Linked DNA regions of Schizosaccharomyces pombe. The gene in region 2 interacts genetically with the main gene of each other region. Each region holds a gene or a part of one and is shown on either strand. Other genes may lie near its edges. The genes, in order: erf2 and erf4.

Evidence for each region.
Region 1: of erf4 (region 2) and erf2, changing one enhances a phenotype caused by changing the other (phenotypic enhancement), as found in Schizosaccharomyces pombe (one study listed by BioGRID).

The regions. Positions count from the first base shown.
Region 1 is NC_003423.3:1,865,219-1,869,699, forward strand, and holds erf2 (palmitoyltransferase Erf2), read right to left. Parts: upstream 2,315-4,481; 5' UTR 2,232-2,314; coding exon 1,179-2,231; 3' UTR 603-1,178; downstream 1-602. Other genes in the region: elongator complex subunit Elp6, read right to left, coding at 1-113, 196-390; SPOM_SPBC3H7.08C (uncharacterized protein), read left to right, coding at 4,034-4,102, 4,172-4,223, 4,384-4,481. UniProt on the Schizosaccharomyces pombe protein: The erf2-erf4 complex is a palmitoyltransferase with a major role in driving sexual development. Palmitoylates ras1. Palmitoylates isp3. Palmitoylates rho3.
Region 2 is NC_003424.3:2,828,160-2,831,355, forward strand, and holds erf4 (palmitoyltransferase complex subunit Erf4), read right to left. Parts: upstream 1,026-3,196; coding exon 507-1,025; downstream 1-506. Other genes in the region: rit1 (initiator methionine tRNA 2'-O-ribosyl phosphate transferase), read right to left, coding at 1-190, 470-528; spd2 (ribonucleotide reductase (RNR) inhibitor family), read left to right, coding at 2,358-2,440, 2,640-2,647, 2,833-3,050. UniProt on the Schizosaccharomyces pombe protein: The erf2-erf4 complex is a palmitoyltransferase with a major role in driving sexual development. Palmitoylates ras1. Palmitoylates isp3. Palmitoylates rho3.

The DNA.
Region 1 (4,481 bases), on a different chromosome or scaffold from region 2:
ATGTGATTTTTGGTTTCTGGTGCTTGTACCTTCGAAGGCTTGGAAATAGGAGCAAATAGCATGCTGAAGCCATCGATAAAGAAGAAATTTTTTTTCGTTTTAATATCCATTCCCTAATATTGGTTCAGTAGGTTAGTCATACGAATAGTTTATCATTCAACCACTTATGCAATCGTAATCCCTCTTTTTACATACCCATTTACGCATACTAATTGCATGCTCATCTAAGGTTTTACTGAATGTTAAAAAACAAGTACTTTCCTTTGCTTTCAACGCATGGTATAAATAATAATGGAACAGAAATGTGACAGGTGTTTCTCTTGTTCCCAGTAGCAAAGTTAAAGAAAAAGGCTCAGGAATGGGGCGTAAATGCTCGTGTAAAGAAGACATTAGGTTTAAGAGCCGTTTGTCATTAGTTTTATAGCCTAACTACAGTAACCAGCTTTCCGAATGGTTGTAGAGGGTGAATGGAAAACACAAGCCTGGGAACGGAGCAACATGAACCAGAGTAAGAATGAACAAGCCGGTCAGTAATGCAAAGCTAGTTCTAATATTATAGAAGTTTCAAGTATCAAATTAAAGAAGTCTAATACCAAATTATTTTCCAGAAAACTATCCTCTAAATGTGGATAAGCTATTTCATTAAAAAAAGAAAAACTATCTACCTATGGAACATTGATTTGCCTAAAAGGCAATCATAATAATAAAAAAGAACAATAAAGAGCAAATCCCAATAAATTAGACTGGAAAGGGGTTTAGCTAAAGGAGGTAAAACCATCTATCTATCATATAAGTCATAAAAACAAGCAGCATTACTTTAAAAATAAAAGAGAGCAGCCAAATTAAATATTAATAATTCCAGAGATTGGTGAGAACAAGGAATAGTTTTATAAACATTTGTTTCTGTACATTGTTCTCTGTAAAGTACAAAGGGCGAGCTGAAGGGGTCGACGACAAGGATGAAAAAAAAGAACAAAACATTATCCAGGTAAAAATTTTGAAGAGGGGAGTAATCTTTTTTATTCCGGTTATTAAAACCAAATTAATTTCGGTACTGAAAAGTAAATTGGTAAGGGGAAGATGAAAGAGTGTAGCATATATGCGTGAGCGATTTGAGCATTATTGTCTAGCAAATAAAAAATTTTTATTTCTTATTTTCTTTGTGAAGCCAAGGCATATTACACGTAAGACTTCCTAGTGGGACGAACGTAACTCACATTTTTAGGACGACAAAGGACAACCAGAAAATTGAGCCATATGCTGTCATGAAAAGGATGTACATCTTCAGTTTCTGTACTCTTTGCTCGTAAGTATTCATGAACATTCTGACCAACAGATATTAAATAGCACTGGTAACAGAAAAGGATGCCAGGAAGTATTGCTCCAAGTGCCCCATAAATGCCAAGGAAGAAAGATACGCCAGCCCATGGACGACGAAGATGCGCCGCAAAATTTGTATCTGTGGATTCATGAAAACTTCCTATAGAAGTATAGAACCCCAATCCAGTTAGATACAAAGCTGAAAGAACGACAGATAACAAAAAAATAAAATAATATCTGTAGTTTCGACGACCAATGCAAGTGTTTAACCAAATGCAGTGATGATCAAGGTATTCAACACAATTATCACATAAATGACAATGGCTTGCACGTGGAGGACGATATAAGTGGCACGTATGGCAATAAACTGTATTAACAAAGACAGAGTCAGACCGAGTGGATCCAACAAGGACTTTACGGTCTTCAGGAATTACAGACCAGGGATGGGCAGGGTTATAAGTTAAAGAATATGCATTTCTAGGAAGAATTCCTGGATCAGCAGTCGAGCACTTGAACATGGAAACAACGGCTAAGGCATACAGGTAAGCAAAGGTAATAGGGACAGCGGGAGAGACATGATGCCAGAGCCAAAAAGCAGAAAAGATGAAGAAAAGGACTCCTGGAAGAATCAAGGCAAACAAGCTAATGAGGAAAGCTTTGTACTGAGATGACATTTGCAATCGACCACAACATAAATAGATATTGTTTCCTGGTAAATTCTTATATCGGCTTTCAATATGCGGTACTTCCGGAACATCATCAGGAACGGATTGAAATCTATAAGGAATTTGGTTCTTTTCTTCCAAATTCATGGGATACGTTGGATCAGACAAAGTCACCTCAAATGGATTCCATGGCTGATTCCACGCGTAGCGGGATGCCTTAGCATCACTGTGTTTCTCATAGCTCATGATTATATTCTCTAAACAACAAACATGGCAAAGAAACAGCTATTTTTACACCTGGTATTATATCTTGTAGTTTTGTTGTCGGTAAGGATATGAACCCCTTTTGCGATGGAGGGTGAAGTAAATATTAGCATCCGCCAAAGTTTGTTTACTAAGCAAATAAAGAAATCAAAATAAATAAACAATTAGAGAATGTGACTCTAATAACTAATATTTGGAATGGCGCCTATTTAATCGATGAGAGTGTATTAAAAAGAGAAGGGAAATAAAAACAGAATATGAAATGAAATGCTAAAAAAAAAAATACTAACCGAAGAAATAAAATTAATAATAATAAATAAAGTACTTATTTTTTTTTTACGAATAAAATGTAAAAAAAATTATTTAAGAGTGCCAATATATTAGTATTTATATTTTTCAAACTTTTTATTTAAATATATTTCATCGATACTGTAATTGGAACATCCTGTCAGTACAACAATTCAGGGCTCAAAGTTAGAAAAATCAAGTTTAATAAATTATACTATCCGTGCAATTTCGGGTTTGTAAAGAAAGTGGATAATATATGGAAAAATTAGTAATATATGACTCGATAAAGACTCCAAAGACTAAGATAAAAGACCAATATCATGGGAAGTAGACTAGCTAGTAAACCATTTTCATCTTGTGTATTATGTTTTTTTTTTTTTTTTTTTTTTTTAAAATGGCTAAATAACTAGCAGGAAAATAATGGGAGGGTGTAATTGAGAAAATATTAGAAATGAAGGTACGGAAGCAACGAAAAAAGATCTTAAAAGTTTATTAGAGTGTTGCAACTATTGAAATTATGATTATCGCGAAGCTATTAATGAAAGGGCTAATTTAAAGGATCATCTCTATACTTTCACTAGCCCCGAAATAACCCAATAACCTCTATGGCTTGTAAACAAATAACTCAAGAAACACGGTATATGGTCAGTTATGGATGAAATTTTGAAGAAAAATTATTACTAATCTACATCTAAGAAAAACCATCCTGGCTTCATTCACTGTATTTAGTGGAAATGTAGTTCACAAGATTATCGAATTAGATTGTTATTCCTCAATATGCATGACTCCAAGCGGTCCTTTGGTTTTATTTCCTGTTTTAAAGGGAAATGAATTAAATTCTTATTCCTTAGAAAATCTCAATGACGCTTTTAAACGTACTTGTACATTGGACCTACTTTACTGGAGAAACATTTGCGGTCAGCAACTACTATTAAGTTACTAACCTCATGGCAGCTAAATTTTGAAAAATGACTATATTTATTTATAATGGTACGAACCATTTTTATTTGTTTGCGAAGTTTTTTAGTGTTCTCTTCTTATTATTTACAAATATAATCTTAGGAAAAGTTTAGTAAATAAGTGTCCTAACAAATTCTATAGTATAATACAAGGGTAGAGGTAGTATCTGAAAAGTATTATAAAACTGTATAAAGCAATATAAATACAAGGGCGGTTCGATCCCGATTGCAAACGCTGGAAAATCTAGAAATATTGGAAAGTTGCTTCTTTCACCACTTTAGTAGAAGGAGTTGGTGATTATTATGATATTATTATCCATTCAAATTTGAATCTCTTAATGCGCACCGTTGCTACGTCTTGTCTGCGTCAGGTGGCGATCCCCATAAATATTGATGCTTGTCATAAATGTTGCGAATGTTCGCCTACGTATTTCATTTTGACATTTACAATCATAAAAGGATTTTAGATCCTTTCCATCTCGAAACAATTAATCAAACTATTCAAGCGAACAAGAACTTTTTATTTTTGGAACCATCATGTCAATTATGCGCTCAATTATGTCGAACCGCCTGGTTCGCTGGTCAAGAGAATATCCAGAACTATTTGTAAGCTCAATTTTTTTTTGAAAAATATATTGAGTTGATTATTTCGTAAGCTGATCAGTTTGCTGTTAGATAACTTGGTGTGTCATGACTTATACCTTTGGAGTTGCTGGTTATATGCTTGGTATGTTAAAAATTAGTAGAAAATTAGAAATCAGCGCAGTTAATGAAACATTATACTCAATTTTAATATTCTGTTAAAATTTTCCTACAGAATATTTATTTTACAAGCGCATTTACATATGATTGTTTAAATTAAATGATTGTAGCTAACAGTTTTTTAGGACAGCGGGGCTTGTTGGTACAACATGAAGATCAAGTCCGAATTCCTTCAAAAAATGCTCACCCCTGGGAAGACACCAAAAGCAGTAGCGGAAAAAGT
Region 2 (3,196 bases):
ACGACAGCTAAAAGACCATTGCCCGGTATGACCATCAGTACTTTTGAAATAAACAGAAATCGGAGCATGTCGTCGGTTGACATACCACGTACCGCATCGTTCATTTACAACAGGTTTAAATGTGGGGTACGAAGCTATAACTGAGTCGACAAACTTGGCATCGTGTGCAATTGACAGCAACCGATTCTTTCTTGAAATTAGTGTTAGCCAAATTTTCCATTCGATGACATACAAATAAAAGAAAAGCAAGGCAAAAAGGAAAAACAAGTAAAAATCAGCAAAAATATATATCAGTACGAAATCCAACAAATGGCGATTAGGCTAAAAATTTTTCATGAAAATTTAATAGCAGCTATCCATCGTTTTTTCTTACAATTTGCATTAATTGCTTGTGCGTTTATAAAGGTAGCAATCATTTTCTAAGTCTTTTGATTCTGCCAGCTTATTTGTATAGCAAATTGAGACTTACGGGTGTCTTGCTTGAACATGAATTTGTTGCACAGCGTCTAAAGGGTCGAATTCGTCCATTCGTTTGGCAGATCACTTCTGTGAGAACTAGAAGTTGAGATATTTGAAGTGGTGGCAGTCACGGCAGAGGGAAGTGTTCGTATAGAATGGTGCTCCGGGCAGTACGGATTGGAATGGAGAGTACTACTTTTCGAATTTGTTTCTTTTGTATGAAAAACGAGACTCAAAAACCCCATATTGCGAAGGCTGGCAACGTATAAATTATGTTGGGTTGCAAAGTCCAGGATGTACAAATCGATCGCCCCAATTCTTTTACGATGAATACTGCCAAATACGAACTCCGAGATATAAATCGTTAAAACAGATAGAATTCCATCTAATAGATTTCCAATTGACCATGGACAGAAGGCTTCTCTCAGTTTCTCGTTTAATGTGTGAATGAATACATCCCAATCCTCAAGATTCACATAAGCTCGAAGAGGTACAGGATAATCGGTTGGAAATTGAGGATATTTATCTCCTGAAACCGAATAATCCCTTTCAATGCGAACAAGCATCGAAAAAACCTACTGAAATGAAGCTTGGTGGATTCCCTAGCTCTAGGTTCAAGTGTACAATATTAGAAGACGGATTAGAGAATATGTATAATGAAACTGGGATTCGGTAGAGCACAAGAAAAAAAATAAATAAACAGGAAAGTTATAAGTTAAACAACGTTAAAAATGACTAAAAAATTATAAAACACTCATGAGTTCATCGATTGATCATATAACCGGAACTAAACAAACAAACGTATTAAATGTCAGAATTGAGTGATTAATTGAGTGAATAGCTGTAAAATGGGCAATGATAACTCATTTTAAAAAATCATTATGATTAATTGAGTGAGTTTCAGATTTGAAACAAAAACCACACAGTTTGTCACTAGGTAATTTGAACGGATTTATAGTGAAAATTAAGATTGATAAAAGGATGTGGTTTTAGTTGTTGAGGAATTGAAAATTAATAAAACGTATTGCTCGTTCAGGAAGAGGATAAAAGCTCTCTACAGGATATATTTCATCTACGATAAAAGTTACTTAGAATGAACTGGAAAAACTACTTGGGAAAATAAATGTAATAAAATATAAAAAATATTCGACTGTATATTATATGAGCATTGACTCATATTACTTTAGTCGTTAGATGAGATAAAACTTTGACAACGAATGCGGGCTTTTTTGAAGTCCTTGCTCAGTCCAAGAAGAGCGTCTTAAATCAAGTTCAATAAACTTTTTTAGCTGCAAGGGAAGTTAGGTTGCTTTAAAGTACTCAGCTATCTAAAACTCATTGTGCTTGCTATTAAGTTAAGCGTTAAAGATCCTATTAGGCTTAATATCGTCTGCGTTCTATACGACTTGAAGCTTACTCGCTTCTAAAAGGAATATTCGTTTAAATAAAAGAAACATGCTAAATATATATCTATAGATTCTTACAACCAACTTTTCTTATCCATTTATGCAAGTTGAATTCATGATTTGAAGAAATTCCAAGAAAGACGATTAAAAAAGAACCCTCCTTTACGAAGATGAAAATTTAGTTTCTCATGATACCCATAACATAACTGTTTAAAGGAAATATGTATCGCATTACACTGTTTTGTTTTTTTTTTCCATAGGTAAACAATAGAAAAAGTGTTACCTGTCTCGAGTCACAGAAAATTCGTATGATCTACAATCGCAACCCCAAACTACTTACCATCTACCACCTAATCATTGAAAATTAAAAGATTGCTCTGCGATTGGTAATTGCTAGCATTTGTGATTCACCACTCCGTCTTTACCTATATTTAACTATACTTTGTCAATTTCCCCCTGTTTGATACTTTTTAATTGTTTTACTTATCCAGGATGTCTGAAACGTTCAAGCTTCCCGATCATGACGAACTTCCCCAGCTAGTTCAAACTACTCTTTTTGATGTTGGAGCCAGAGTGTAAGTTTAATCCAATTTTTTACTTTTAAACGTTGAATTATCCAAAATGCTGATTGTTCTGCTATCTTTTTTTGTAAGAGACAGGGCTTAAAGGTCTAAGTACTTTTTTGAAAACTTATAATACAATTGTACTGCAGCACGGCATTTGATGATTTAACTCTTTTTTAGTCTTTTTGTATAATAACTAACAATCATTTAGTCGCAAAGGTACGTGAATCAAATTTAAAAAAAAAAAATGAGTGGATTTGTTTATTAATACCTTAATCAAAAATTTCTATAAAGCACTCTTTCTTCATGTTTATACTTTTAATGGAAAACTGTTTTTATAGAAACTACTTCCTTTCTACCTTTTTTCCTGTTTAGATGAAAGCAGTTTTTACTAACTTTAGCAGCTGTTCAAACTGGTTACAAATTTGACCAACAACTTTTCCCTTCTTACCACAAGGATCAAACTGATAGAAATGAGCTTCCTCAGCAAAAACATGATCCTAATCTTCGTCTCGATGATTTGAAGCAAGAATTGGCTGCTGATTCTATTTTCTGGGATACCGCCTCCACTCAAGAAATCGCCGATTCTTTTGCCAAGCCTGATTTTCTCAAGTCTCATTAAATGAATAAATGAGCAAGATAAAGCTTTCGATACTATTGGGTAATATGTATATTTTCAATAGCATAAATCTTTGTTATTGAGATGAACTATTACTCAAAACTATGAAATTGAATTGAAGATAAAGATTTACTTAATTTATTTCTTCG